Linked DNA regions of Mus musculus. The protein of the gene in region 1 purifies or fractionates together with the protein of each later gene. This does not show direct contact. Links are inferred from orthologs where the notes say so. Each region holds a gene or a part of one and is shown on either strand. Other genes may lie near its edges. The genes, in order: Bcl7c, Dpf2, Smarcc1, Ss18, Smarcd3, Smarca2 and Smarcc2.

The links.
Region 2: the proteins of Bcl7c (region 1) and Dpf2 purify together in Homo sapiens (affinity purification with mass spectrometry; 4 studies listed by BioGRID and IntAct, counting the BioPlex papers as one, with this or other methods). This does not show direct contact. The link is inferred for Mus musculus from reciprocal best matches to the Homo sapiens genes BCL7C and DPF2.
Region 3: the proteins of Bcl7c (region 1) and Smarcc1 purify together in Homo sapiens (affinity purification with mass spectrometry; 4 studies listed by BioGRID and IntAct, counting the BioPlex papers as one, with this or other methods). This does not show direct contact. The link is inferred for Mus musculus from reciprocal best matches to the Homo sapiens genes BCL7C and SMARCC1.
Region 4: the proteins of Bcl7c (region 1) and Ss18 purify together in Homo sapiens (affinity purification with mass spectrometry; 3 studies listed by BioGRID and IntAct, counting the BioPlex papers as one, with this or other methods). This does not show direct contact. The link is inferred for Mus musculus from reciprocal best matches to the Homo sapiens genes BCL7C and SS18.
Region 5: the proteins of Bcl7c (region 1) and Smarcd3 purify together in Homo sapiens (affinity purification with mass spectrometry; 3 studies listed by BioGRID and IntAct, counting the BioPlex papers as one, with this or other methods). This does not show direct contact. The link is inferred for Mus musculus from reciprocal best matches to the Homo sapiens genes BCL7C and SMARCD3.
Region 6: the proteins of Bcl7c (region 1) and Smarca2 purify together in Homo sapiens (affinity purification with mass spectrometry; 4 studies listed by BioGRID and IntAct, counting the BioPlex papers as one, with this or other methods). This does not show direct contact. The link is inferred for Mus musculus from reciprocal best matches to the Homo sapiens genes BCL7C and SMARCA2.
Region 7: the proteins of Bcl7c (region 1) and Smarcc2 purify together in Homo sapiens (affinity purification with mass spectrometry; 4 studies listed by BioGRID and IntAct, counting the BioPlex papers as one, with this or other methods). This does not show direct contact. The link is inferred for Mus musculus from reciprocal best matches to the Homo sapiens genes BCL7C and SMARCC2.

The regions. Positions count from the first base shown.
Region 1 is NC_000073.6:127,705,967-127,709,947, reverse strand, and holds the start of Bcl7c (B-cell CLL/lymphoma 7 protein family member C), read left to right. Parts: upstream 1-1,181; 5' UTR 1,182-1,420; coding exon 1,421-1,512; intron 1,513-1,989; coding exon 1,990-2,068; intron 2,069-2,406; coding exon 2,407-2,515; intron 2,516-2,610; coding exon 2,611-2,772; intron 2,773-3,981. UniProt on the Homo sapiens protein: May play an anti-apoptotic role.
Region 2 is NC_000085.6:5,910,072-5,914,148, reverse strand, and holds the start of Dpf2 (zinc finger protein ubi-d4), read left to right. Parts: upstream 1-1,277; 5' UTR 1,278-1,376; coding exon 1,377-1,408; intron 1,409-4,077. UniProt on the Homo sapiens protein: Plays an active role in transcriptional regulation by binding modified histones H3 and H4. Is a negative regulator of myeloid differentiation of hematopoietic progenitor cells. Might also have a role in the development and maturation of lymphoid cells.
Region 3 is NC_000075.6:110,233,024-110,236,523, forward strand, and holds part of Smarcc1 (SWI/SNF complex subunit SMARCC1), read left to right. Parts: intron 1-1,853; coding exon 1,854-2,030; intron 2,031-3,500. UniProt on the Homo sapiens protein: Involved in transcriptional activation and repression of select genes by chromatin remodeling (alteration of DNA-nucleosome topology).
Region 4 is NC_000084.6:14,680,115-14,684,414, reverse strand, and holds the start of Ss18 (protein SSXT), read left to right. Parts: upstream 1-1,500; 5' UTR 1,501-1,679; coding exon 1,680-1,748; intron 1,749-4,300. UniProt on the Homo sapiens protein: Appears to function synergistically with RBM14 as a transcriptional coactivator. Isoform 1 and isoform 2 function in nuclear receptor coactivation. Isoform 1 and isoform 2 function in general transcriptional coactivation.
Region 5 is NC_000071.6:24,599,203-24,603,464, forward strand, and holds the start of Smarcd3 (SWI/SNF-related matrix-associated actin-dependent regulator of chromatin subfamily D member 3), read right to left. Parts: upstream 2,801-4,262; 5' UTR 2,657-2,800; coding exon 2,579-2,656; intron 2,563-2,578; exon of another isoform or gene 1,934-2,562; intron 1-1,933. UniProt on the Homo sapiens protein: Involved in transcriptional activation and repression of select genes by chromatin remodeling (alteration of DNA-nucleosome topology).
Region 6 is NC_000085.6:26,603,663-26,607,959, forward strand, and holds the start of Smarca2 (probable global transcription activator SNF2L2), read left to right. Parts: upstream 1-1,497; 5' UTR 1,498-1,571; intron 1,572-1,586; exon of another isoform or gene 1,587-2,387; intron 2,388-2,488; exon of another isoform or gene 2,489-2,848; intron 2,849-2,911; exon of another isoform or gene 2,912-3,393; intron 3,394-3,479; exon of another isoform or gene 3,480-3,881; intron 3,882-4,297. UniProt on the Homo sapiens protein: ATPase involved in transcriptional activation and repression of select genes by chromatin remodeling (alteration of DNA-nucleosome topology).
Region 7 is NC_000076.6:128,465,815-128,469,314, forward strand, and holds part of Smarcc2 (SWI/SNF complex subunit SMARCC2), read left to right. Parts: intron 1-2,980; coding exon 2,981-3,056; intron 3,057-3,191; coding exon 3,192-3,323; intron 3,324-3,427; coding exon 3,428-3,500. UniProt on the Homo sapiens protein: Involved in transcriptional activation and repression of select genes by chromatin remodeling (alteration of DNA-nucleosome topology).

The DNA.
Region 1 (3,981 bases):
AGCTGTCTTCAGACACAACAAAAGAGGCCGTCAGATCTCATTATGGGTGATTGTGAGCCACCATGTGGTTGCTGGGATTTGAACTCAGGACCTTTGGAAGAGCAGTCAGTGCTCTTACCCACTAAGCCATCTCGCCAGCCCCTTCCATTCCATTCTTTGTGTTGTTTCCAGGTTGTTGCTACTGTGAAAAGAGTCCCAAACTTTCCAGTATTCATATCTTGGTGTTCATACAGACACCACATTTTGTCCTAGTGAGGTTTCTAGTGATGTAATAAACACCATGACCAAAAGCACCTCGTGGAGGGAAGAATGTAGTTCAGCTTGCAGTGATAGTCCGTTATGAAGTCAGGGAAGGAACTTAAAGCAGGAACCTGGAGGCAGGGACTGAAACAGAGACCTTGGAGGAATACTGCTTGCTGACTTACTCCCCAAAGCTTGTCCAGCCTGCTTTCTTAGAGTGTTCAGAGGTGGCACTGCCCTCAGTGGTGTGGGCTCTGCCACATCAACTACCATCAAGAAAATGGCCCCACAGACTTACCCATAGGGCATCTTGATTGAGGCCCTTTCTCCACCAAGGTTCCCTCATCCCAGCTGACCTAGTTTATGTCAGGCTGACAAAAAACTAGGCAAGCACACATTTCTTCTGTTGAGTGTTGATAGCTTGGGAGTGGAAAGTGTTGGAAAACGGGGTTGGTATAAGTTTTTCACTGGAAGACTATCAGTTTTCCAAAGTATCTCTACCAATTACACAACCTGATTCAAGGAATGCCAAGTTGCTCTGCTACCCCATCTACATGGTCTTTCTCATTCCCGCCATTCTGGCTGAGGAGGCCCGCTCTCCACTCGCAGCGTCTGGCGCGTACTTGGCACTGTTCATGGGACTGTTCAATGAATGAATGAACAAATTAAGTTGGGCAGCGTAGAATCAAACAGCCTGGAGAGGGCAGACGCGCGCACAGAGCATTTCAGGGACGCCCACCCGCCGCGGACGCACACCAGGACAGTCCCTCTCGCGCACCCCTGAGCCCACGTGGCCGGAACGCACCGCCTCGCTCGGGCCGCGCGCGTCCAGCCGCACAGCTGCCCCCCAGCTCTCCCTCTCCGTGGCTGGCAGAGGGCGCTGTGCGTCCGTGCGCCCCGAGGGGCGGGCCCGGGCCGGGGCGGGGCTGGCCGGGCTTCCAGGCCGGGGCTCTAGCAGCCCGCGCCGCCCGGGCCGCTCCGGGGACGGGCCGGGGCGGGGCGCGGTCTTAGGAAGCCAGGCGGGGACGCGCGGAGGCGTTGGGGAGCGAGGGAGGGCGCGGCCAACTCCCGGAGGGACGGCAGGCCGAAAGAGCGGCGCTGGGGCCTGGCGCTCAGCCTGAGATCGCCGGACCACAGGCCGCCCCGCCACGGGCTCTGTCCCGGCCCCAGCCCCGCCAGCATGGCCGGCCGGACCGTGCGGGCCGAGACCCGGAGCCGGGCCAAAGATGACATCAAGAAGGTGATGGCGACCATCGAGAAGGTCCGGAGATGGTGAGCGCTGCCCCCGGGCCAGGGATACAGCCAAGCCACCTCCTCCAAACGCGTCCGCCCTTTCCTGGCCCGCTGCCCCCGCCCACCAGCTGTGCTCTGAATCGACAGGGCGCCCCCTTTCCCCGGCAATTCCCAGAGGTCTACAAAGCGTGGTCCGGAGTGGTGCTTTCCCTGAGCGGGAGCCCTCATCTATGCCCCGCCCCCTGAAGCTTTTGACACTCTAGCAAGCTTGGCCCCGGGTCTTCATTGCCAGAGTCCCTGGCCAGGCCTTGGTGGCGCCCTGCTGAGTGCCCCAGGTGTCTGCAAAACCGCAGCTCCAAGTTATATCCGTTTCTGCTTTGCCCTGGGGTTTGAGGGCTCTTTCTGCTTCTGTGCCAGTGTTAGCGAAGCTGTCCCTACCCTAGCACACCTCCCTGACCTCCAGTCTGTGGGGCTCATCCTTGGGCCTCCCTGATCCAGTCTCCTGACCTCCCACAGGGAGAAGCGCTGGGTGACTGTGGGAGACACTTCCCTTCGAATCTTCAAGTGGGTGCCTGTGGTGGATCCCCAGGAGGAGGTGAGCAAGCCCCAACCCCCAACAGGCCTTGCATCTGTGCAGCCTCAAGCAATTTCCCTCCCAGCCTTGGCCTCCACCTTCAGTCGGCTTGGAGACTCCAGTGTGGAGCCCAGGCAGATGGTAACGATTATTAGGGGGCGCGAGCGCACTTACACACACACACACACACACACACACACACACACACACACTTTCTCCAAGTTCAAGGCCTAACTCAATCTACACAACCTGATGCAGCACCTTTCGCTTCTCTGAGCCTAGGTTTCCTTATTCGTATTGAAGGGCTTTGTAAGAGCTCCCTAGACAACTAGCTCTGATCTTACCTCTCTAACCCCCAGGAGAGGCGGCGGGCAGGAGGCGGGGCAGAGAGATCCCGTGGCCGGGAGAGACGTGGTAGGGGCACCAGTCCCAGAGGGGGAGGCCCCCTCATCCTACTGGATCTCAATGGTATGTAGAGATTCTGGAATGGAGTTGGGTGGGGGGGACTGAAGGAATCCCCTGGGGATCTCTGGCTAATTAACGCGCGGCTTTTGCTTCATCAGATGAGAACAGCAACCAGAGTTTCCATTCTGAAGGTTCATTGCAAAAGGGTGCTGAGCCCAGCCCTGGGGGGACGCCCCAGCCCAGCCGCCCTGGATCACCAACTGGACCCCCAGAAGTGATTACTGAAGATACTCAGCCCCCACAATTGGGTCAGGAGAGAGGTAGGGCCCTGTGGCTCTCAGGAGCCCTCTCATCAAAGTTGAACCCACCATCCTGTCCTTGTTTCTTATATTATGTCCTCTCACCCGGTCCCGCCTCCCTCAGGGAATCTTCCCTGACCCTGGCAGAGATCACCTCCAGCTGTGCCTCAATCCTCCGGCTTCTTAGATCTGTAGGGAGCATATCACCAGCTGACTTTTTTTTTTTTTTTTTGCAGATTTATTTCTTTGCTTGCTTATTGTCTTTTTCTGTTATCATCTCCTGTCAGCCATACCGATCTTGATCATGTGGGATGCGTAATAGATGTTCAGGGAATAAATAATTCCAATAATCATAGGGATTAATAGCAGTAGATTAACAGCTAACAGAACCGCTTGTCTGTGAGTCGTTCCTCTGAGCACTCCGAAGTTCTGTTGTTTGTTTTCGCATTTAATCTTCACTGTCATCTTTTGGGACCAATGATTCTATCATGAGTCCTCTCTGTACACGAGGAGACCAACATCCAGAGAAAGATGCCCAGACTTAAGAGCCAGTGAGCAACACCTTGGGCCTGAGCCTTCTTCAGCTCCTCTGTCTTCAAATAGTCCACCCCTTGTCTGGTCAGTACCACTTCCCAGGCGTGCCTGACTCCTGTGCCTTTGGCTCTGCCTTCTCGTTTCTCCCTTGTACCTGCTCTGGCCTCCACGCCTGTCCCCGGTGGCTGCAGAGCAGCTCTCCTAAAGCACACGTTCGAGACGGCTATTTTCCTGCCTCACATCCTTCTTCGGCTCCCCGCAGCCTCTGGTTCCTTCACTTCACACTGAGGCCTTGACAAACTGTTGCCGCCAAAATTGTTCCCCTGTCAAGAACACCATGACATGGCCCCTGGGCCATACCGAGATTGTTCCAAATACTTTTGCTAATATAAACGGATAGGGCAGGGGAAGCGTCCAGTGGTAGGTGCTTATCTGACATGCCTAAGGCCCTGAGCCCCATCTCTACTACCACAGAAATGTAAGAAATGAATGAGTAAGTGAATGAATGAACTTGCTACCTGGCACTTACTGAGCAGCTCCACCCTTGACCCCCACACACAGCAGCCTCTCGTGGTCTGACTGACACTATTTCCATTCTGCAGATGATTTAGGATCCGTGGTTGCTAAGCATCTATTTCTGTCTGCCTAAGTTCTGCTCTACCTCTGTTGTCTCCTGGCTCACTCCCCACTAACGAG
Region 2 (4,077 bases), on another chromosome or scaffold:
ATCAGGTCCAACATGGACAGAGAGTAGATCGCTTCTAAATCCATTGAAACCGAGGTTTGGTGACTTTGTTAGGAGTTATTTCAAAAGGCCTGGTGGGAACAAAAGCACTCAGTAAGCAGAAGAGAGCCTAGGAAAACAGGGCAGTACAGAATACGAATGAAAATCTGCTTAGAAAGAGTGAAAAGAAATGGGCTGAGATGCAGTGCCAATGGGCTTAAGGGAGTCCTGTTGGTTTCTTCTTCTTCTTGTTTTGTTTTTGTTTTTGCTTTTGTTTTTTTGAGACAGTGCTTCTCTGTGTAGCCCTGGCTGTCCTGGAACTCACTTTGTAGACCAGGCTGGCCTTAAACTCAGAAATCCTCCTGTCTCTGCCTCCCAAGTGCTGGGATTAAAGGTGTGTGCCCCTACCGCCCGGCTGGTTTCTTCTTTAAGGGGAAACATGTTTGTTCATGGATTTGCATAACTCGATACTGAAGGAGAAATAAATAGTATAGAACTAAGAGGGCTAGTCACACCAGTGAAAACTTTCAATGTGGAGAATGGCTTGGTAATAGCAATCAAGGGCTTGTGGGATGACACAGCAGATACGGACTCTGGGCACCACGCCTGACAACCTGACCACCATCCCCCAGGTACAAAGTAGAATGAAAGAACTCACATCCCCAAGCTGCTCTCTCACTCTTACACATATGCTATGGCACATGCACGCACACAAAGACAGACATACAGAGCAAAGGAATGGAGAGAGAGGGAGAGGGGAGAGGGAGAGAGAGGGAGAGGAAGAGGGAGAGAGAGGCAAGCAAGAGAGAAGAGGTGGGTGCCAGTGAAGTTCAAGGACCGGGTTTACTGGCAGGAATTGTCCGAATGAGAGTCAGGCCCAAGAACAGCCCATTTTGGGCACTCACTTTCCATTCTCTAAAATGGGCTGACTGGGAACAGAGGTACCTAAAGGACTGGGACTCTGACCTTTCACTACCTACCCACCAATCTCTCCCTGTGTGTCAACCTCGTGGCTAACGGCCAGCCAGGCAGGACACTGTTTGCAACTTCTAGCCTATCCGCGTGGCCTTTTCACTTACCTTTCTCACTTTCCAACCGAGCCAGATCTCCTAGCTGAGGCGTCACTAAATGGAGGGGAGACGGATCTCTAGAATGAGCTGCAGAGGGCATGTAAGTTTTCCAATCGCGCCTGCGCACTGGGATCCTAGGCTCCTTCAGGACAGGTCGTTCTCGAGCGCTCGCTCTCGTGGGCCTGTGCGTGCGCGCACCCCCTAGCTGCGCCTGCGCAGAGGGTCGAGGACCCTGTGTCCTGAGAAGGCTTAGCGCCTGCGCGTTGTAGGTTTCGGGGCCTCCCGGCCTGAGGGAGAGGAACAGGGAAGATGGCGGCTGTGGTGGAGAATGTAGTGAAGCTGTGAGTGGTCTTTTTTGTTTGTTTGTCTCTTTTTTCTTTTTTAATCTCTCATGTACCAGAAATCTTGTAAAGGACCTGGGAGTAGAGAGGGAGGTGCGGGAAGAGACAAGGTAGAGAGAAGGACATGCCCGGGAAGTCCTTGCTGTGCGACTGCTGGGAGGGAGGGCAACAGGAGACTCGGGAGACGGCGCTGGGCTTCTTTTGGAAACTTGTGGAGGACTGGAGGGGGGCACACCGGAGCCCCCGACGGGTGTCCTCCTCGCGGGCCGAGCCCCGAGCGGAGCTGCGGGCTGCGAAGGAGAGGCTCACGGTCCCTGGCCCCTCTCTGGAGACGCGTCAGTCCCGCCAAGCCGAGGCCGGCGGCACTAGGAGATCGGGGTCCCCTCCCCGCCCACCGCCGTCCCTGGGGCCATAGGCTCCGCCGTCCCTGCGGAGTCCTAAGACTTAAGCAGCCTGGTGACGTTAACCGGGAAATCCGGGGTCCACGAAACTAAAAATGTTCTTGGGAAGAACTGGTCCAAGAGCAGAACTTCGGGGAGTGGGGAACTAGACCGGAGCCAGATGGCCTTCCAGTCCGCAGGAGCCCTGAGGTGGGCGTTCTCTGTCCCCCAGATGCCATTGTGCGGGTCAGATTTCCAGTGGAGCTGAAATAAACGGTTGTTGGGCGACACCGGGAACGGGGACTGGCCTGCTAGTCGCTTCCCCTCAGTTGGAGATGTTTGGATGAGGCTCTTCCTTCCTTCTTGAAGAAGAATCAGAGTTTTGGAACGGGGTGCCCATTGGATTTAAGAATGGCCTTCTCTTCCCTTAATGGCCATGTTAGACGTGATGTAAGGATAGAGAAATTGAAGTGTTTCAGCTGTCCAATCAAAGCTTTTGGATTCTGGATGACAAAGTAAAGGTTTTGGAACCATTCTGGAGGACTTTTCGCAGCTTTATCTGTCTTTGTCGTGGGCTGAGCCCCAATCGTCCCAAGAGGCTTTTAAAAAATTTTTTTTAAGGTTAAGTTGCTTCTTCCCTGCTGCTTGCAGCCCCTTTCTTTGAAAATGCTTTTCCACTTCCATTAAGCTAAGTGCCTTCTCTTGTGGCTTTTTTTTTTTTTTTAATCTCGCTTTTGGCTTCATCCTGCTGCCTATTTCAACCACCCCTCCTCCCAACGCTATTATCTCTGTGATCTGCCCACTCCGGATCCCCGGCTCTCTTCAGGCTGACATTTCCCTCAATTTAGAAATGAGGCTGTTAATTTACCAATTTTATAGTTCTCCTTCTGGACTCAGAAGTTAAGTCTTTATTACCCTGCCTTTCTCTTTGTTGGACCCCCCTTATTCCCCTGGAAGGGGAGTTGTCCTGTGCCCCCTCCCCACCCCCCAGGTTTCCTGTGAAAGGAGGAGTCACAGCTTTTACCCTGAAAATCTTACTGTCTAAAAGAATATGCTTGCCTAGGTTTTCAGAATTAGATGTCAATGGAGTTCTTCATGTTGAAAGATGGTCTGGCAGAAAATGGAGTTGCCAACCCATTGGTGTAGTATTTTAAGTGTTGGGTGCCCATTTAAATAGAGCATTGCTCTTCATGCCTCTTTAACTCACTGGTTCCTGAGTATCAGTGGGGCACTAACTTGCTTCTCCTCAGCTGTAGTGCAGAAGACTGGAAGCTCCTAACATGTTCCCCGGGGAACTTTCCCTTTACAGGGAAGGCTTTGATTCTCACACCATTCTCACTCTGGAAAGATGCCTTTCTGATGCCTTTTTAAAAAAAATAGTATGCTTCTGTCTTCTGTCAGCTGCCATCACTCACTGAGGGAAAGACCACTAGCTCATCTTTTTCATTTTTTGCCGTGTGAGAAGACTTTCTGTCTTAATTTTCTGTTTTTCTCAATTACAACGTCATGGTTGAAATAGTCTTTATAGTGGTCTTATTAGAGTAAATACTAGTGTTAAAATAACCATGGCTGCCAGCTAGTTTTTAAAACTTTCTAGAGTTATATAAGGCTATCCATAGAATAACAGAAGCTTGGAATTTTTTGCTACAGAGTCTTGAATTTGTGTGCACTCTCCTCTTTTGCTCTCTTCACACGCACACATGCACACACTCATGCAGTCTTATCCGGCCATCTTTCCTACTAGAGCACCTGCTTGGCCTTCTAGAATCTTACCTGGCCTGCAGGGGCCCCGACTGGACGTTCCAGTCATCCCTCCAGGCCTCCCTCAGGCTCCGCACTCTGACTTTGCAGTCTTCAGCCCCACAGGGCTGGTCCTTTCTTCCGTTTGACTTCCAGTGTCAGTATCAATTCCCATCAGCAGAAACAAAGGAGCTGCTGCAGTCAGCCTTGTTTATCCAATTTTCCTGTGTGGTAAGGACGTGGCTGCCTCCTAAAGGCGAGCCAGTGTGAGCCTGCTCTCTTCTGTGCTGTGCTCTCCAGCACATTTATCCCTTAATTATAGTTATTCCTGCTCACTGAACCCACTCAGGCTGTACTTGTAGTGTTGCTGTGTGTGCTGTGTTTGCTGGGAACAAACTAAGCTGTGCAGTGGTCTCTTGTGACTGCTCAGTGAAAGTCCCCATCAGAGTCTACATTAGGGCTTGTTGATACAGCTTTAGTAATAGCATTAGACACTGAGACCTTACTCCTTCCTGCTTTTCATGCATTCTTATCCCTATTCTCTTCATC
Region 3 (3,500 bases), on another chromosome or scaffold:
GATAAAGGGAGGTCGTGGTTACTCTTCTATACTTTGCCTGTTGGGTGGTCTCTCTTTTTTTTTTTTTTTTTTTGGTTTTTCCTGAGACAGGGTTTCTCTGTGTAGCCCTGGCTGTCCTGGCACTCACTCTGTAGACCAGGCTGGCCTCAAACTCAGAAATCCGCCTGCCTCTGCCTCCCGAGTGCTGGGATTAAAGGCGTTGCTACCACACCTGGCTGGGTGTTGTTCTCTTACCTCTTGGCTAAGTCTATGGATTCAGCAGACCTTACTTGAGAGTTGGTGTGAAACTGAACATGATAAATGATCCTATACAGTTTTTGTGTTCTATCATTACCTCATGATGGCTCTGTCTTTGTGACGATGAAGCTCATAGGCTCAGAAGAGTCCTCTTTCTAAGGCTCTGTCACAGCCATGCTTGATAGAAGAGTCAGCATGAAGATGGGTAAGGACTTTGTTACTCTAAAGCTGGTTTCCCTTTATCATGTGACCAGAAATGTTCCTCTCCTAGCTAGAGTTCTGTACTTTTGAGTCCAAACGTGAGCTTTCTACTTACATCTGTAACTGTTTGCATACTACAACAGCAAGTTGAATGCATGTAATGTCACTCAGTAGCAGAATCTAAGTACTTGCTGAGTCTTCAAAGACAAATATATCGGTGTGTAAGTAAATCAGACATTATTTGTTCTGTCTCCCATCATTAATGTAAGGACACTGAGAAGAGATGGAATTGTCTGTCATTTATCTTATTCTCCTACCTCAGCCCAACCCCATGTGTGGTTTTACCAGGCCAGTGCTTCATGGACTCCCTCAGGGATCCTCCAGGTCAGAGAAAGGCAGACCTTTGAAAGTCCTTTCTGATGTCTGGCCTGTGCCAGGCATTGGATGTGATGTGATATGTGATAAGCCACTGCTCATTTAGAGTAACCATAGTGAATCTGTTCTTTGCCTGATGCTTTCTCAGAACTGCTCCCATTTGTGCTTGTTTAACCAGCTTGCTTGCTTGCTTTTTGAGATGGACTCATGTATTTTAGATTGGTGTCAGACCCATTCTGTCTAGCCAGTGGTGACTTTGAAATCTTACTTCTACCTCCCAGATTCTAGGGTTCCAAGTATCCTAGGGTTCTAAGTATCCTAGGGTTCTAAGTATCCTAGGGTTCTAAGTATCCTAGGGTTCTAACCACAGCACTATTTGTGTGGTACTGGGGACTGATCTCACAACCTCTTGCCTTGAGGAAATATCTTTTACTTTTTTTTAAAGATTTATTTATTTATTTATTTATTATATGTGAGTACACTGTTGATATCTTCAGACACACCAGAAGAGGGCATCAGATCCCATTACAGATGGCTGTGAGACACCCTGTGGATGCTGGGAATTGAACTCAGGACCTCTAGAAGAGCAGTCAGCGCTCTTAACCGCTGAGCCATCTCTCCAGCCCAAGGGAAGCATTCTTACCAGTCGTAATTCATGATCTAGTTGAGCCATGGCCTCAGCCCTGTAATTCATTCTCAATAGTAACTACCTTTCCTATACTAAAGTTGAGAAGTCAGTCAGTGATCTTTCCTCAGTTAAGTGTTTCTTCTACAAAAAAATGAATAAAAGGCTGATCATCAGCCAGTGAGAAGGTGAGGGTGCTTGCCTCAAGTCTGGCTGTCCAAGTTCAGTCCTCAAAGCTCACACACTACCAGTTTTCCTCTAGCCTCCATACTTGTACCATGGTGTGTTTGTGCCCATACATCCACATGCTAAATAAGTCTTTATTTGTCTATGTTCTACAGTCTTGGACATTGAGTTGGTGCCTACCCACCCCCAGTGCATGAATACTTACAGTGCTTTAAATCTCTTTCCACAGGTCAAATACCAGGCCCTGGCTCCATGATGCCTGGCCAGCCCATGCCAGGTCGCATGATCCCCGCTGTGGCAGCCAACATTCACCCTACTGGGAGTGGCCCTACCCCTCCTGGTATGCCTCCAATGCCCGGAAACATCTTAGGACCCCGGGTACCCCTCACAGCACCAAACGGCATGTGTAAGTAGCACAGTGGGACGACATTACCCAGCATCCTGCTTTGGAAGCTACAGATAAGGAAGAAATGCTTTCTTCGTGAGATTAGCAAGCCCATAGACAGTCTAGCCTGCAACAGTGAGGTGTGGGAGATAACGTTTTGGTGTGAACACTCAGGTTGTGTACTCAGTACTGAGATCTGTGGGGAAGCCACTGATTCTGTCACTCATGATTAAACCTGACTAGTTTGAATCTCATCTGACATGCATAGTTCCTGGCTGTTCTTTCCCCTACAAGAACTTTTATGCTGTGGAATTAAAGGTGGTAAGTAGGGAAAAAGTGAAGTTCAACCAGACCTAGTCCAATTAAAGGGTACACTCCTTTAACCCCAGTGCTCAGGAGCAGAGGCGCTTGCCAGGCCGTCCTAGTGTACATATGGAGCTCCAGGTCAGCCGAGGCTACATAGTAAGAATCTTTAGGAGGGGGAGGGGGAGAGGAAAGAGAAAGAGAAAAGAAAGAAAAAATTGGTATAAAGACGGGAGTCAGCTCTTGTAGCTGTTCTTGATACTTAGGTAGTTCCTGCATTGACTTGAAATGAGGTGGTTTAGGAACTGCAGAGGAAGAATACCAGGTAAAGAGGTGCTGGCCACGGTCAGTAGCATCCCTCTGAGCTTGTGTTCGGAGCTCAGGTCATTTCCCCCTAAGCCTTACCTCTACCCCTACCCCAGCCCGAGCCCTGACCTCCACAGAGTTACATGAGAGGCTGTGATCTCCAGCTGGGTAGACATGCTCAGTGAGAAGGATCCAGCCATAAGCTGATTTCTTAAGAAGATCCTGTATGTGGCCAGAAATTAGCTCCTAGTCACAAAACAATAAATAACCAGAATCCTCTGCCTGCTGGGCTGAGATGACTCACAGCACTCAGGAGGCAGAGGCAGGCAGATCTCTGAGTTTGAGGCCAGCCAGTGCTACACAGAGAATCTCTGTCTCAGAAGAGAAAAAGAAAAAAGAAGAAAAAAAAACATAATCCTTGACTGCCTTCATGAGCTTTAATTAGGAGAATGGGTGAATGAAAAACCGTTGATAGGACTGTTCATCTCTTATTGATGAAATGTAACCAATAGCCTTAAGCACGGCTACTATGACTTCCTGCTATAATGGACTGAGTTCTAGAACAATGATCCAAAATACACTCACAAGTTGTCTTTTAACTTTAACACACGCTCTCGCACCAGCAAGCCATGTGCGTTTGCGCGCGCGCATGCGCGCGCACGCACACACACACACACACACACACACACACACACACACACACACACAAGCAACAGCTACAACAGGGAACTTCAAAATCCTTGGAATGCACTGTAATAGTCCAGGAGACTTCTTGCAGGGAAGGTGGCTTCATGCAGAGACGCATCTGAATCCCAGAGGCTGAGACAAAGTCCATACACAGAAGAATGTCTTACATTAACTGAATTTATAGAATCTGGCCCA
Region 4 (4,300 bases), on another chromosome or scaffold:
GTGAAAGACAAGAAGTTACTTCTCAAGAACAGTTACCATTGTAAGGGAGAGAGAAGGTTCCATCCTTTGATGTTAGAATGGCCAGAGTCTTCATCTTCTATCGTGTGTGTGTGTGTGTGTGTGTGTGTGTGTGTGTGTGTGTACGCGCGTGCGCACGCGCACTATTTCATATGCACAGCGTAGGGGAACCACATGTGGAGGTCAGAATACAATTTGACTGAGTTGGTTCTCTCCTTCCACCATGCTGGTCACACAGACTGTACTCAGGATGTCAAGCTTGGCCACAGCACCTTACCAGATGAGCCATCTTGAAAGCCTAGTCTTCACCCTTTAGGTTTCTTTAAATACAACAGAGAGTTCAGAACTTAAGGCACACGACTAGCCTGTAGTGCTGTCCTTGTTTGCTAACCGTTAAATTTTACTTATATGCATATCTGGTTTTGTTTACTTTTTGTAAATCTTTTCTATAATTAAACAGCATGAAATCTTTGAGAGTTTCCTTTGCAGCTGGTCAGTTCTACCACCCGTATAGGGCACTGACACCCCAGAATCGCAACTGACCCGTGACATTTGAAATAACATTTAAAAATACGTTTATTTTTTACTTTATTAACATTTTGGACACTAATTTTTTGGTCTTGTGAGACAGTGGCCGTCAGTGTAGCTCTAACTGTCCTGAAACTCACTCTGTAGAGCAGGCTGGCCTTGAACTCACAGAGATCTGCTTGCCTCTGCCTCCTGTGTGCTGAGATTAAAGGCGAGCACCCCTGACATCCAGTTAGGCACTAATTTTTGAGCATCAGTGATGTTAAGTAACGATTCACATAAACTTCTCTTTTGTGCGACTAGGAAGTCTATGTTGCAGAATTAATCCACAGCAACGTGTTCCTTTTGAATTTGCAGCTGTTGGCTTTATTCCCTTCATACTGACTTGAAGCCTGGGCCTAATTAAGCACTAAGTATTTAACTGGAGAAGAGGGTGGCTTTTCACAGCTTCCTTCCAGAGGCCCCAAGTCAGATCAAGTAGATCCACAAGTGTGGGCAGGGTCTATCTTTAGGCAAACTCCGAGTCCGGGGTTCTCTCCACTGTTAGGCTAGACTAGACGAGCGTGCACTCCGAGGTGCGCACGTGGAGCGCAGGGAGCCATTTAAACTAGCGAATCCGCGTTCTCTGTGCTGACCCGGTAGACGCTCCGGAGCCCCGACTGTCCTCTTTCCCTCTGGGCGGCCGCCCGGGCGAGCCTCTTCCCCAGAGGGTCGAGGGCACAGTTGGGGCAGTGTGGCGGGCGGGCCCCGCGTTTCCTGTGACAGCGCGGCCCAGCCGCTCCCTCCCGCCGTGGCGGGACCATTTCCTGAGCGTCCGGGCAGAGGCGGCCGGCGCGGCGCTACCATCAGCGCAGGGACGCGGGGGTGCGGCCGGTGAGCGCGTGAGGGCAGCGGGGCGGACCGCGGCGGGACCGGGGGCTCGAGCCGCACCGGCAGCAGTGAGCGTCTTACACTCCTTGCTGGGAGCTGCGGCTCAGCGTTAAGGCCAAGCCGGCCAGCGAGGGACGCGGCCCGGGAGCATCCTCCCCCCACCGCGCGCCCTAAGGTGGAACTGCCCGGAGGCGGGCGTCGGGCCCCCAGCTCCGCGGGCCCTGGAGCGCTCGGGACTCGCTGATCGCGGGCTCGGCGGCAACATGTCTGTGGCGTTCGCAGCCCCGAGGCAGCGGGGCAAGGGCGAAATCACGCCCGCCGCCATCCAGAAGGTGAGCCGGGAGAGGCGCCGGGACGCGGGCCGAGGCGGGGTGGCGTGGGGGCGGGCTGACGCCGGCTTTCCGACGGAGCCCTTTGGCGCCTGCTCTGCCCGCACAAAAGCGCTGGCAACCGCCGCCCGATTTCCCCGCGGGCCGGGTGGCCTCGCGCCGCGGGGCCGTGAAGGAAGCGGCCCCGAGACTCCGGCGTCGCCCCGCCGGGACCCCACGCGCGGAAGCCCGACCCGAGAGTGCTGCGCCGCAAACTCCTCGGAGTTGAGGCCCTCTTCGGAGAACTTGAGAACCTTCCGCAATGTCTCGGGGCAGGCGAGAAAGGAGCCGGGGGGCCTCCGGGGCTCCCCGGGGTCGCTCCCGGGATCGCACCCCGGATCTGTTCCGGTCTGCAGCAGATAGATGCGCCTGAGCGCGCAGGGCGGGCGCTGGGGTTCCGGAGGGCGAGCCTGCTCTCGCTGGCCTAGCGCTGTTGGCCGTCCACAGCGACAGGCGGGCGGTTTGCATGAAGTCACGATCGAAGCGCTGGGAGCTGGGTCCTCAGAGAGTGCCACCCAGTCGCCGCTCCGGGGCTGCCAACTGGAGACACAAAGGTTCTTTATTATCCTCTAAGCCAGTGTCTAAAAGCAAGGCACTATTTAGCTCTCAGCATGGTAGACTTTTGAAAGTCGCCTCCTGTTAAGTTTAGCAGTTTGCCTTGCCCTGAGTATTTCGATCTTGTTCCCTGCCCCGGAGTAAGGTTAAGGGGAGCAAGTCAACCTGTAGTACCAATCGGGGCACCCTTGAAGACCTGTGGGTTACGGCCATCGGTTTCTGTTTACTGTCAGGGTCTTTGTAGTGTGGCATTTGACATTTGCCCAACTGTTGCTTTATTTTTCTTTGAAGAAACCCGCCTGGCAGTGTCTGGAAACGCAGTTGGTTTCTTTAGAGTGCCAGGTTGAGCCAGTAGTCTGGTGAACAGCTTTCTTTAAGCACACACGTGCAGAAAGAATGTTTCTAAGAGGATTCTTTTTGAACTCTAGAAAAAGTCTGGCGCTTTCCTTTTTCTCAGTAGAGTTTTTTTTTCTTTCTTTCTTTCTTTTTTTTTTCTTTCTATTAGTTGCTTATCGTGAGTGATTGATCTAGGTGCTAACTGGTTATATTTCATTCTCAGATGAAAAGTGAAAATGGATTAAAATTCTTTTGTTATTTTATACGTCTGTGTATGTCATGTGCATGCAGTGCTTGGGGAGGTCAGAAGAAACATCAGTTCCCTGAAATGGAGTTAATAGCCTCCTGTGGGGGCTGGAAACCACAGCCAGGTCCTTAGCAAGAGCATTAAGTGCTCTTGTCCTCTGAACCATCTCTCCAGCCCCCCAAAAGCATTACAATTCAAGTTCTGTTTGCAGTGTCAGATGTTGGTTTAGACAGGAGGCAGATGGTTGGGGTTGTTTCATGTGTCGTGGATTCCTTGGTTGAGTATTGAATTGATGGCACTGCCTTCAGGGGCAGGCAGATTTCTGTGAGATTGAGGCCAGCCTGGTCCACAGAGTTAGTTCCAGGGCAGCCGACGCTACACCCTATCTTGATAACAACAACAAAAATAGTAACAACAATAAAAAACAAAAGAATTTTTTTGTATATAGTGATTATATTTAAGAGGCACACTTTAGAAAAGTGTTTGCTCTTAGCAATCGAAGATAATGATAAATGTGCCGGAAATACCAATTCATGGTAATTGGATTTTGTTTTTAATTGAAAATCACGTTAAATGATTTTTGGTTTTGTCATGAAATTTTGAAAGGTGGGGCATGCTTAGGATGCCCCCCTAAATCTTAAGCTCCTACAAACTTGGATAGTGTGCTAGGGACTCCATGTAGGTTTTCTTCTGTAGTGCCATTGGCATAGATGAATTACTTAATCCTCAAAACCAAGGTTGCTTAGATTGTTATAAGATGCTAAAATGATAATCTTATGGTTTTTGGACTTTCTGAGATATCTCAGTTTATTTTACAAACTTCTATTAATAATTACATGCATAGAGATGATTGCTATGTGTCCTTTTGGAGAATCATGAATCTGCACAGTTAGAAAAGAAGCTGAGCCATTACCTCAGGGCCCTTGGGCAGCACTGCTCCTGTGTTTGTTTCCTTCTGGAGAAGAGATTTCCTCCTTCACACTAGAGCATGAGAATGCTCCAGTAGCAACTGCGAGTCCACTTTCAACTAGCAGAAACTACTGTTACAGATTGGAGAGGTAATGAAATGTTTCTGTATTTAAAACAAGACACCCCAAAACAATGGCCTAGAAGATGGTTCAGCTGGGTTCAGGGAGAGAGCCAGTGCTACAGAATTGCCCTCTGACCTCACACCACAGCACTGAGTGTGTGTGTGTGTGTGTGTGTGTGTGTGTGTGTGTGTGAGTGAGATGATTAATACACACTGATGATAAATAAGTCAAAAGAAACACCCTTTTTCCATTCTGAGTTTCAAAGAGAATAATTGAGATAGGTATTAAACAGAATTGATTAAATGTGATATCATTCCACATACACAAAGTAAGATTTTTTTTCTTTT
Region 5 (4,262 bases), on another chromosome or scaffold:
TCAAAGAAAACAGCGACCTCACCAAGGTCACCCTGCTCTTCCTGGCAAAGGCAGCACCTGGCGGGCCCTGCTCCCCGCTGCTTCGCTGCGGTGAGGGAGGGGCTGATCTCCTGCCCTCATTCTCCATTTCCACACCCCACTTCTGGGTCTGATGTGTTTTGTACTTGAGCCCCTATCTCCATTTCGGAGCCCCCTGCTTTTGGCACCTCAATCTCAAACATAACTGGTACAGCTAACTCCAGGTCTCCACACCCACTGACTTAACCTGCCTCTTTAATTTTATTTCTCCCAAGATGATACAAGAGACTGGGCAAGGGGACCTGCGGGTCTGGTGTCATCAAACTCTGCCAGGTTTTCTTGAGTGGCAAGTGGGGAACGGGACTAGAAGTGGACTGCCAGTGCAGGGATGTGAAGGAAGCAGCATCTGTAGCAGTATCCATTTCCCCCTCCCATCTGCCCACATCAGAGACAACCTATTCCTCACAATATCCCAGAAAGGGTAGAAATTGGAGGGAAATGAGGCAGGTTGATTTTCTCTGGCCACCAGCTCTGGGCAGTCAATCAAAAGAGATGAGATGTGAATGCAAGTGGAGTGTTTCAGATTTCACTTGTCCAAGCCCAGGAAGGGGGCTGAGGCTTGGGGACCTAGACCAGGAAGGGTATTAGGGAGAGGGGAATGAAACCCCTATTATTTAAACACTACCATCTCAGGCTAGGGATGTAGCTTGGTTAAGGGCTTGTGCAATACATGTGGTGCTCTGGGTTCGATCCCCAGCATCAAATAAACTGCACATGATAGCACATACTTTTTTTTTTTTTTTTTTTTTTGAGACAGGGTTTCTCTGTGTAGCCCTGGCTGTCCTGGAACTCACTCTGTAGACCAGGCTGGCCTTGAACTCAGAAATCCACCTGCCTCTGCCTCCCGAGTGCTGGGATTAAAGGCGTGCGCCACCACCGCCTGGCATGATAGCACATACTTATAATCCTAATCTTGAGGTGAAGGCAGAAAATCAAGACCACCCTCTGATATATAGTGAATTTGAGGCCAGCCTGGGCTACAGAAGGCCATGCACACACACACCCTTCTCATCTTGCCCCCTGGATTAAGAAGCCCTAACCCTAACCCTGGGCTTCCTTTCTCCTCTTACATTGCTTACCTCTGAGGTCTCCACCCAGAGCCAAGCAGCTGTCTCTGCCCATCTCTTCTATAGTCAAACAGGCCTGTCCCTGAACTTGCCTCCCCCATTCCACCTGACTCTGTCACTCACAGCACCAATGTCACCAGCGTGGAAGCTCAAGCCTAGCCATTCTCCATCACTATAGAGGGGACTCTAATCATCCAAGAACCGAACTACCAAGTTGACCACATTCAATTCCATATGCAGAGCCTCTTCACTGGATGGTAGTCTTTAAAGCAACTACTCTTAAGCAGCTAGGTCAGGATTGGTAACTCCACTAACCCATAGGGCTGCCTTGGAATTTATACCCCAGAGATCCCTATGGCTAGAGAACAGGCTGCCACAGAGAAGCCCTCTTCCCTATCAGCCACTCTCCTATTCATCAAGGCCACTGATACTGTTGGGTCTAATGAGGCCCTGAGAAGAAGGCTTCTAGGGGCCCCCAGGAGCCTGCCATCAGTAACAGCCTCATAAGGGTCAGATTCTGGGGGCCCTTGCCTCTCACTGAAATGGTGCTTCCTGGAGTCACAACCAAATTTGGCCATAGTAAATATGACTGACTCTTCCCTCCATATGCCCAGGCTTAGAGCTCCTCACAGCAGGCTCTCCACCTCAATAGGTTCCTGGGTACCCTCAGACTCCTCACATGTCTTCGTGAGTGTGTGAGTGTGTGTGTGTGTGTGTGTTAGAACGGTATAGTACTATCCCTTTGGTTTCTAGGCCTCATGTCCCCAACTCCTGCCCCTCCTTCACACCTTTGAGGTGTTAAGGTCATCAACTTCTGGTGGCTGAGCCTGCCAAGGAGATCTTCTGACTGCTTAACTTGAGGTCTCACAAGTAGACCCTTCTCAGCTCTGACAGCAGGGCCAAGTCCTCAAGGCCCTCCTGCTAGGATGCAGAGGTTGTTCAGCAGAGAGCTTTTGCTCTTAGGTCACCTGCTCCTAGCTGCTCAGACCTAGTCGGAGTGACCCTGTCCCAAAGGATGAACAGGGACAACAGGCAGCCCTGCCCTAGCTGTGTGTTCGAGTCACCACCCCACCCCCACCCCCAGGGCAGGGGTAACACCTGAGCCCACCAGTAAAAGAATGTGAGACATGTCAGTTACAGAGGGGACCCCCCTCTTGGGGGAGGCACGGTGCCCACATCCCACCCCTTGCCCCTGAGAAGAACCCAAGCCGACGCCTCTCTTCCCGGCCGCCGCGCGCCCATCCCCAGCCGACCGCTTGGCGACGTGTTCGGATGCCAGGGCGCCCGCAAGGTCCCAGGGTTGGGCCGTGACCGTGCGCCCCTCAACCAAAGGGGTGGGAGAGCCGGAGCGCGCCGGCGGCCCCTCCCGATCATCCCTCCATTCAGCCCGAGCCAGCTCGCTCACCCTCCCCCGCTAACTTTCCCCCACTCACCACCCCATGGACCAGAAACTCAAAAAGTTTGCTTTTCGTGGCTTTGCGCGCCCCTCCGGCAACTTCGTCCGCGGCCATCGGGGTGGGCTCAGCGGCTCCTCTCACTCTCTCTCTCTCTTCCTCTTTCTTTCCCTTTTCTGCCTTTTTTTTCCTCCAACTCTCCCCTCTGAGTCCTGCTGGGCTCTCTCACACTTCTACTCGAGCGGAGTGGGGAGGGGGCCCCTTCAGGGCTGCCCTGACGGCCCACGGCCCACGCCGCCGCCGCCGCCCGCCCGCCGCCGCCGCCGCCGCGGCTGCCGCATTCCTGCACTGATAAGACAGAAATAGTCCGGCGGCCCGGGGTCTGCCTGCGACGCGCCGGGGACGGAGCGGCCCTCCTGTGCACTCCGCGTGGTCCAAGCGGCGCACAGAAGCGGCGAGACGAGCCGATCTGCCCGGAGGCTGCGCGATGGGCAGCTGCGCTGCGCCCAGGCCGCCCGGGGCCCATCGGTGGCGGCTCGGGGAGGGAACACCACGGGAGGTGACAAGGGGCTCGCCAGCCACTCTGCCCTCGCCACAAATAGTTTCTCGGTTAGGGAATTCGCCGACATGGCCAGGCAGGGAACAGACAGTTCCAACTTTTTTCCCCCAAGTGGCTCCTGCAGCATTTCTGAGGCCCTTTCCCCTGGGACCAGGCAGGCCAAGTAGGGAAACATTTGCTGGAAGGAATCTGGGGGGGAACCCGAGCCCGAAGCAGGCCTTGCTCCTGTCCCAGGGCCAGCGCGGTGGGTGTGCCGGGCTAGGCGGGCTCCCGGGCGCCCGCAGATGTGTGTGCCCTTGTCTCGCACACCGTGTGTCTGCACCCTTTTGTGGCACGGCGCAGAGGCTGTGGGTGTGGATGTTTATGTGCGTGCACTGACAAACGCCCAGTCTGTGTGCTTCCCTTCACAAGAGCCGCCGAGCCTGCGCGCGTGCGTGCGGGGCAGGACACGGCCTGTGTCTTTCAGCTCTGTTGGAGTCTATTTCTGGGCTTGTGAGTCTTTGTTTGTCTCTGTGCGAGAAAGTGAGGGCAATAGGGGAAATATTTCCGAAAAGGGGACATGGACTGGACTCATGAGAACAGGAGGAGTACATTGTGAGGAATGGCGCGGATCCAGGGTGGGTACTTGGGTGGGTAGGAGGAAAGGGTGAGGCAAGCAGGGCTTGATGGCTTTGGCGCGGAGACCCAGAGAGCTCGGGATTGGTGAAGTCCGCCCCAGAACCGAAGAGAAAGCAGGAGTGTGGGGTAGGAAGACGAGGAAACCCTAAATGGGACAGTGTGGATAGAACTGGCCATCCCTGGAGGGGAGGAAGAACAGAAAGGAGGGGACAAATCCTGAGATCCCTAGGTTGAGCCCAAGCTCCGCCCATTCCACAAGCCACGCCTGTCCCCACCTTCTGAAGGAGGAGTCCGCGGGTTTCAGGACAATCAAGGGTCAGGTTTATGGGCTAGCTGGGGCTGCCGCTGAGAGAGGGACAATGCCTGAGGGAACTTGTGGGAACACATACAATTTGAGCCCTCAAGACCCATTGCACCGAGGGACCCTAACCTTTGGCCCTTCAGAATGTCTTCATGGGTCAGGATAAGGAGCAGAGGAATGCTCTCCCAGTCTATTTGGCCTGTATCTTTGTTTCCTGCAGGTCCTGTTAGTATGCCTAGCTGTCA
Region 6 (4,297 bases), on another chromosome or scaffold:
GTCAATTCTGTAAAAGTATAAACCATCTTAAAATAGGATTTTACCCCAGGGTGGGAGGGATCCTCAACCAAATAGTCACAGTGCACTTTGAATGACTAATTTACGCCATTACATTGCAAAATAAGGAATAGATCATACTTTTTCATAACATGACCACATAGGAGCAGTTTTAATTTTAAGAGTCAAGCACCTACATTAATCTGAGTCTAATATAATAGGCCTCTGATTTAAAATCTCCTAACATTCTTTCACACTTCATAAAACTAAAAATAAAACCGCCTCACCAAATAGTGACCTAGGGTCCGGCAGACATACTGTATTTCAAGGAAAACTGAAACACTAGCTCTCCAAACCACTACGTGCAGGCAAATTGCAGTTTGTAGCCTTAATTGGTCTTAAATGTGGGGTGGAAGAGAGAGGAGACTTCGGTCTGTAGAGATTGAGATTTATTTCCCTTTTTAAATCAAAAGCAGATCCCATGGTTCAGCTGCCCCCTGACTCTCCCGCCCTACCCTCGCGGGTCGTTCTCTCCTCCCACATTTTTATGTATATTTTATTCGAAGACGACAGGTGAGGGGAGGTGAAAGTGCTTCGTGCCTTTCCGAAGTAAACAGAGGGGTTAGGAGGGTTTATCTGGGTTTATTTATTTACTAGGCGGCCGGCCTCTCAGCTGTTTCTCTTCTCTGGCATTTGGAAGCTTGCAGTCCTTTAGGGATGAGACAGATTTGGCAAGCTCGCTCTTTGTGCCGCCTCCCTTTTCACTGGGGGCTGGGGATGGGTGGGAAGAACGCAAATTTATGACAGCCTTGAGAGAAACGGGGAGGAGGCGGGGGTCGAAAAAGTTTCAGCTCGTATGATAATGCCCATTCCCTCCCACCCCCGCGGCCAACACTGCCACAAACAGCTTTGGTGCCACCCGGAGCCCTGCCCCCGCCGTCCCCTCCCTTTCTCTCTGCAGGCTCGAGCTGGCAGGCGCAGGCACACTTAAATTCCAGCACGGTCTCCACATTCCCCAGAACTACTACGCTCGATTACTACGGCTGCCCTCCCCTTCGCTTCGGGGGGTTCCCCCAGTCTCCTCGGAGAAGCTCGGAAGGCTACTGCCAGCTAAAGGATGTGCGGCTCCCGAGTCCAGCAGGGCTGCGGGCTGGTTGCTTGTCCTGCGCAGTTTCTCTGCTCCAGGCACAAACACGGCGGAGAGCCGGCGCCTCGCAGACACACACAGATCCACGCATACAGTAGAGCTGTCTAGATCCACATTCTTGCACACCGCCCCCTGCTCCCCCCGCGCGCTCCCGGAGTCGCTGAGCAGGGCGAGTGACAGGAGCGTCCCACCAACCCGCGCCGGGCCGGGCAGGGAGGAGCGGCTCGCGGGGCCAACTGCGGCGCGTCTTCCGGCGCCCGTGGAGGCGGCGAGGGTGGGACGCGGGGCGGAGCCCGAGTTTAGGAAGAGGAGGGGACGGCTGTCATCAATGAAGTCATATTCATAATCTAGTCCTCGCTCCCTCTGTTTCTGTACTCTGGGTGACTCAGAGAGGGAAGATTCAGCCAGCACACTGCTCGCGAGCAAGGTAAATATAACTTACAACTCCTTTCTCTTCTCTCCACGGCTCCGGCCTTACAGCAGCCGCAGCGGCCGCCGAACCCCTTGGGCACCGCGCCGCCTTCGCCCCGGATTATGCATCCTTATCCTAATCATTATTTATTGTGCATGCTGGAAGACCAAAACAAACAGGCGGGCCAACCGCTACAACAACAAAAAAGCCCGCCTCTTCCCCGCGGGCCTCAGGTGGAATGCTCTAACCACAGCTCCCGGGTGGCGATAAAAGAAACAAAGTTTCAACCGAACCTCGCCGTTCTAATAATAACAGTAATAATTACTACTTCGAGGGGGCAAGGAGAAGAAATCCCAACATGTCACAGCCTTGACCCTGGGCAGGTTGACAGTGATGCGCTGCCAACTCAGGGTTGCAACACACTCTCCGCCAGGTTGCATCCCCCCCCCCCTCCTATCCCCTAAAAAGCAGAGGTGGGGAGGGCTAGTGGCAAGAGGAGAGGGGGATTTGGGAACTCCGGGCCGGGGGGCGGAGGGGTTGGGAGGCGGGGGACTGGAAACGCGACAGTTCACCCCGAGCCATCCTCCCCGTTAGAGTTGGAAGGGAACAGGAAAGGAGGGAAGGAGGGTGAGGAGCCCGGGCTGGCGGCAGGGCGCCAACCAACACGGCTGCTATTCGCCTCCCGGGGACTTGTTTAAAGGGCTCCGGCTGCGGGGACGAGAGCAGATCTTGGCGGTAGTAGTCTGGGATGGCGCACTGAGCGGGCGGCGGCCACTACCACAGGGTTGGTGCCTTGGGGCTCCGAGGTGTCACCTCCACTCCCGGGGTTCCCTAGGGCAGGGAAGGGAATGTTGATTGGTGACAGGCCTTTAGGTGAAAGGGTTGGCCCCGGGGGCTATGGCCGTGGCGCCGCGGACCCTCTTGTCTGGTACCTAGAGGCAGCGCGGGCTAGGATGTTGAAGTTCGGGGTGTCCAGCCCGGGTCTCATTACAGAGGGTGGAAGGAAGCCCCAAGGAAAGAGGTCCGAGGTGTCCACTAGGCTCTGTTAGCCTCCCCTCCCCTCTCTGGGTTTGTTTTCTTTTGCTTGGTGTCTTTCCTTGGCAAGCGCCGAGGAAGCTGCAGACGCGGGGCGCCTGGGATGGTCTGAGTGTCAGGGGCGCACAGGGACCCGGGAGAGCCACGGCGGCTGAGGGCTGGGGAGGCCATGATCCGGATAATCCTCTCTGCCTGACTGTCACAACAGGACCCGCACGCACCCGGGCAGCGGCCGCGGCGTTCGCCCGGGAAGGGGAAGGGCTGCAGTGGGGAGGAAACAGGGGGTGGCGAAGGAGGGAGGCGGGGAGAGCCGGTGGGAGCCTCCTCCTAGCGATGACACTCACCCCTTCCTTCTTGCTCCCTGCTTTCGAGTTTGCTTTATTCCCATCCCAACATAGTTCACCCCTTCCCTTGCCTCCTCCTCCTCCCCCATCGCTGGGCTGCCTCCCCTCCCATTGGCGTTGCAAAACAGGGCCACGCCATCTGCATAGGTGTCGCGATGTACTTCCCCAAATCACCGGTCCAGCGCGCCAGCCCCTGGGCGCCCTCCAGCCACCAAGCGCACACCAGCACAGTGCCCCCCGGTGCCCCGCACCAGGCCGCGCAGCCTGGACGCAGTGACACCGCTCCGGGCGGGGCGCAGCGCTGAGGACTCTAGGGGACACCCGCGCTCCGGCCCGGGCGCTCACGCTGGTTTCCGGTACCTGCAGGAGATCGCCGGGTGCGGGTGTCTGCATTCACCCCTGCGGCCTGGATTACATTATTATTTTTTTATACCGGTTGCTATTCGCTGCGGATAGTGGTGAGCGCCGGGCTGGTAGGGCTGCCTGGGGGATGGGGGCGGAGGGAAGTTGGACACCAATCAACCCGGAAAAAAAAAGTTTGGCAGTGCTGCAAGTCGGATGGAGGGGCTGGAGGGGGCGGCGGGCTGGCGTGAGTGTGCAGTGCGCTAGGGACCAGTGAGTGGCGAGCTGCGCGGGCTGCGTCTCTAGCCGGAGCACTCCCGGGAGCCGGACGCAGAGCCGGCTGGGTCTGGCGGCGGGAGGCGGTGGCGGTGCGTGCGGCGGCGAGGGCGAGTGCGTGGCGCGCGCGAGCGGCGGAGAATCAGGAAGTCACCGCGGCGAAGCGCACAGACGTGTTTGATCGCCGTGACATGACGCGCGCGAGGGAGGAAGAGGAGGTGGCGGGGGCCGGGCCGCGGGCGCCGGCCTAAGCCGCGCTGTGCACACCGCTCCCTCGCAGCCCCGGGCGGCGCCAGCTCGAGAGCCCTGGCCGTTCAGCGTCGCCCAGGTAAGGAGCCGGCTCCTCCCGCTGTCGCCGCCGCCGCCCGCTGAGCTTTCTAGGTCTTTCTCTGCCGACCCCCCTCCCATCTTTGGCTCGCCTTCCGTGCAAAGTCAGGCAGGCAATCGATTGCAGGGAAAACTTTCCAGCGGGAGGCACTGCGCGGGGGAGATGGAGGCCTCGCGGGTGGCTGGCGTGGTCAGTTCTTTCTGCTCCAGGTCCGGAGAGAGTGAGTCGCTGTGCCCTGCGGCTGTTGCACGTTCAAACTTCGGGCCTAAATGTGCTTCCAACTCTCGCAGGATTTACTCCACGAAGAAAATAAACACCCCAAGCGGTCCACTCTCTCGCGGGGGCCCTTGGGGGTGTTTAAAGCGAAGGAGGATGGTGTAGGAGGGGAGAGAGCGAGGGCGTAGTGCAGAATCATT
Region 7 (3,500 bases), on another chromosome or scaffold:
TGTCTGTACGCCTGAAACTAGAGATATAGATTGTTATGAACCATGTGGGTGCTGGAAACCAAACCTGGGCCCTGTACAAGAGCAGTAATTGCTTTAAATACTGAGCCATCTCTCTAGCCAATGCTTCTTGGTGTTTTGTTTGTTTGTCTGTTTGTTGTGAGACCAAATCTTAGAGCCAAAGTCATCTAGAACATCTCCCTTTACCTCCTCAGTGCTTGGATTGCTTAGGAGAGCCACCATGCCCAGCGCCCAGTTCCCAGTGTTTGCTCTTTGTTAGTTTTTCAAGATAGGGTTTTTCTATGTAACAGCCCTGGCTGTCCTGGAACTCACAGAGATCCATGTGCCTCTGTTCTCCAAGATCTGGATAAAGATGTGTACCACCGTCAAGACAGGATCTCACTATGTAATTTCAGCCAACCTGGAATTCACCATGTAGACCAGACTGGCTTCAAACTCAGAGATCTGCCCACCTCTGCCTCCTGAGTGCTGGGATTAAAGGCATAGGCCACCACCACCACCTGGCTCTAATTGTCTTTTAAATGTGTGTCTTTTTGTGTGCATGGGCGAGCATGCACAGGGACAAGAGGATAACCTCAAGTTCATCCTTAGGAACGTTGCCCACTTTCTTTAAGATAGGGTCTCTCATTAGCCTGGTACTCCCCAATTAAGCTAGGTAACATGGCCAGAGAGACTTGGAGATCCTCTGTACCTTTGAAACACTGCAGTGGCCAGCACCAACATTGTTTGTTTGTTTAATTTTATGTGTGTGAGTGCCCACATTTATGTATGTATGTGTGTCACATGAATGCCTGGTGTCTGCAGAGGTCAGAAGAGAACACCTACAGATTCTCTTGAACTAGAGTTATAGGTAGTTTTCAGTCATAATGTAGGTGCTGGGAACTGATCCCAGGTTCTCTGCCAGAGCAACAATTATTCTCCCCCCAACCTTTTTAAAATTTTTTTCTTTTCTCTCTTTTTTTTAAATTAGATATTTTCTTTATTTACATTTCAAATATTAGCCCCTTTCCTAGTTTCTCCTCCGAAAATCCCCTGTCCCCTCCCCACTCCCCATGCTCCCCAACCCGCCCACTCCCGCTTCCCTGCCCTGGCATTCCTCTACACTGGGGCATAGAACCTTCACAGACCAAGGGCCTCTCCTCCCATTGATGACCGACTAGGCCATCCTCTGCTACATATGCAGCTAGAGCCATGAGTCTCTCCTTTCTTTGATTGGTGGTTTAGTTCCAGGGAGCTCTGGGGGTACTGGTTAGTTCATATTTATGTTCCTCCTAGCAACAATTGCTCTTAACTGCTGAGCCATCTCTTCAGCTCCGTGCCCAGCATTTTTATATAGGTTCTAGGTTATATATATTTTTTTTTTTTTTTTTTTATTATATGTAAGTACACTGTAGCTGTCTTCAGACACACCAGAAGAGGGCGTCAGATCTTGTTACGGATGGTTGTGAGCCACCATGTGGTTGCTGGGATTTGAACTGCAGACCTTCGGAAGAGCAGTCGGGTGCTCTTACTCACTGAGCCATCTCACCAGCCCCCCCAGTTCAATTTTATGTTCTGTTTTATCATGCATACATACATACATACTTACATACATACTTACATACATAAACACATACTTACATGCATACTTACATACATACATACATACATACTTACATACATACATACATACTTACATACTTACACACATACATACATACTTACATACTTACACACATACATACATACATACATACATACATACACACACACATACTTACATACATACTTAAGACAAGATCTCACATAGATGTACCAGCTTCTCCCCCTGAGTGCTGTGATTAGAGGATTGCTCTCTCACGCCTGACCTTCTTTTTCTTACTCTGTGTGTGTGTGTGTGTGTGTGTGTGTGTGTGTGTGTGTGTGTGTGTGTGTGTATTCAGGATTGGGATCCTATGCTTTCCTTCCAGGTTGGGTCCCAGAGATGTAGCTCCGGTCACCAGGCTTGTGTGGCAAGCACTTTCTGCCAAGTCATCCCTCTGGGTCATGTTCATATGTTTTGATAATTAAATGTAAAACAAAGGCAAGCATGGTATAACACATCTGCACTCTCAACACTTTAGGAATCAAAGATCAGGAAATCAAAGTCATTTTCAGTTTCCTTGGAAGTTTAGAGCCAGCCTAAGCTATGTGAAGTTTAGGGCCAGCCTAAGCTATGTGAAGTTGTATCTTAGAACAAAAGTTAAAACAGTATAGTAGTAGGAAATGTTTCCACAAATGTATATAATACTCTATAAAGGCTATTATGCAGCCTTTAAAGTGACAGAATACAGTTAGTTTATAGGGAAATTTAAGTGAGAAAGGGAAGTTAGCATCTACAGCTAGAGCTCCCCAGAAGGTAGAGACAGGAGCCTAGGACTTCTAAGCTCTTCTGGGAGACATAGTGTGACCTCTCTTTCAGGGAGCAAAACAAAACAAATACAAATGTAATATAGTTGTAATTACATTTGAAGAAGTGGTTGGTTATAGCTTACCCTGATGCACAGGTCTCACTTTAGACTTAAGGGAATCCTGCCTCAGTTTCCCATAGTCACCAATGTTAGATTGTCTTCATACGTTTTGGGAAACTTTTTGTGCTCTGTTTTATTTCTTGGTTGACTGGTTTGCTTTTGGTTTTTGAGATGGTCTCACTCTGCTGTTCATACTGAGTCGGACACAAGACCCTCCTGAGTACTGGGATCCCAGGCTTACATCACCACGCCTGGCTTTCGAGTTTTTGTTCCTGTTTTATTGTTGATAGTTTCATGGGTCCAAGAGCCTGTCTGTGCTCGCCAAGTACTCTACCACTGAGCCACCTCTAGCCCTCCTTTACATTTTTATTATGGTACAAGCTCCTGCTACACTGACCAGGCCGGCCTTAGGCTGCACTTCGCTCCCGGCAGTCCATCTCCGTCTCCATCTCACACTGAATCTTTTCTGGCAGCTACGACACGTGGATCCCAGCGAGTGAAATTGAAGCATCTGTGGAGGACGCTCCCACTCCTGAGAAACCGAGGAAGGTGAGCTCTCCTGGTCCCCTCCACCCCACTCAGGACCAGCCTTCTCTGTCAGAGGAGCTGGGACTCTGTAAGAGTTTCTAGACAGAGCCGTGGCTTCTGATAACTCTGACACGGACTGCCCTGTGTGTGCTTCAGGTCCATGCGAAGTGGATCCTCGACACCGACACATTCAACGAGTGGATGAATGAGGAAGACTACGAAGTCAGTGACGACAAAAGCCCAGTCTCCCGCAGGAAGAAGATCTCAGCCAAGACGCTGACAGACGAGGTGAGCTCTGCTCCTCCCTGTCAGAGCTCTTAGCTTACACCTGAGGCAAGCCTTGCTGGGAACTGGAGGGTAAACTGCTGCTCATCCCACGTCCTGTTGTGCAGGTAAACAGCCCAGATTCAGACAGACGAGACAAGAAGGGGGGCAACTATAAGAAGAGGAAGCGCTCTCCCTCTC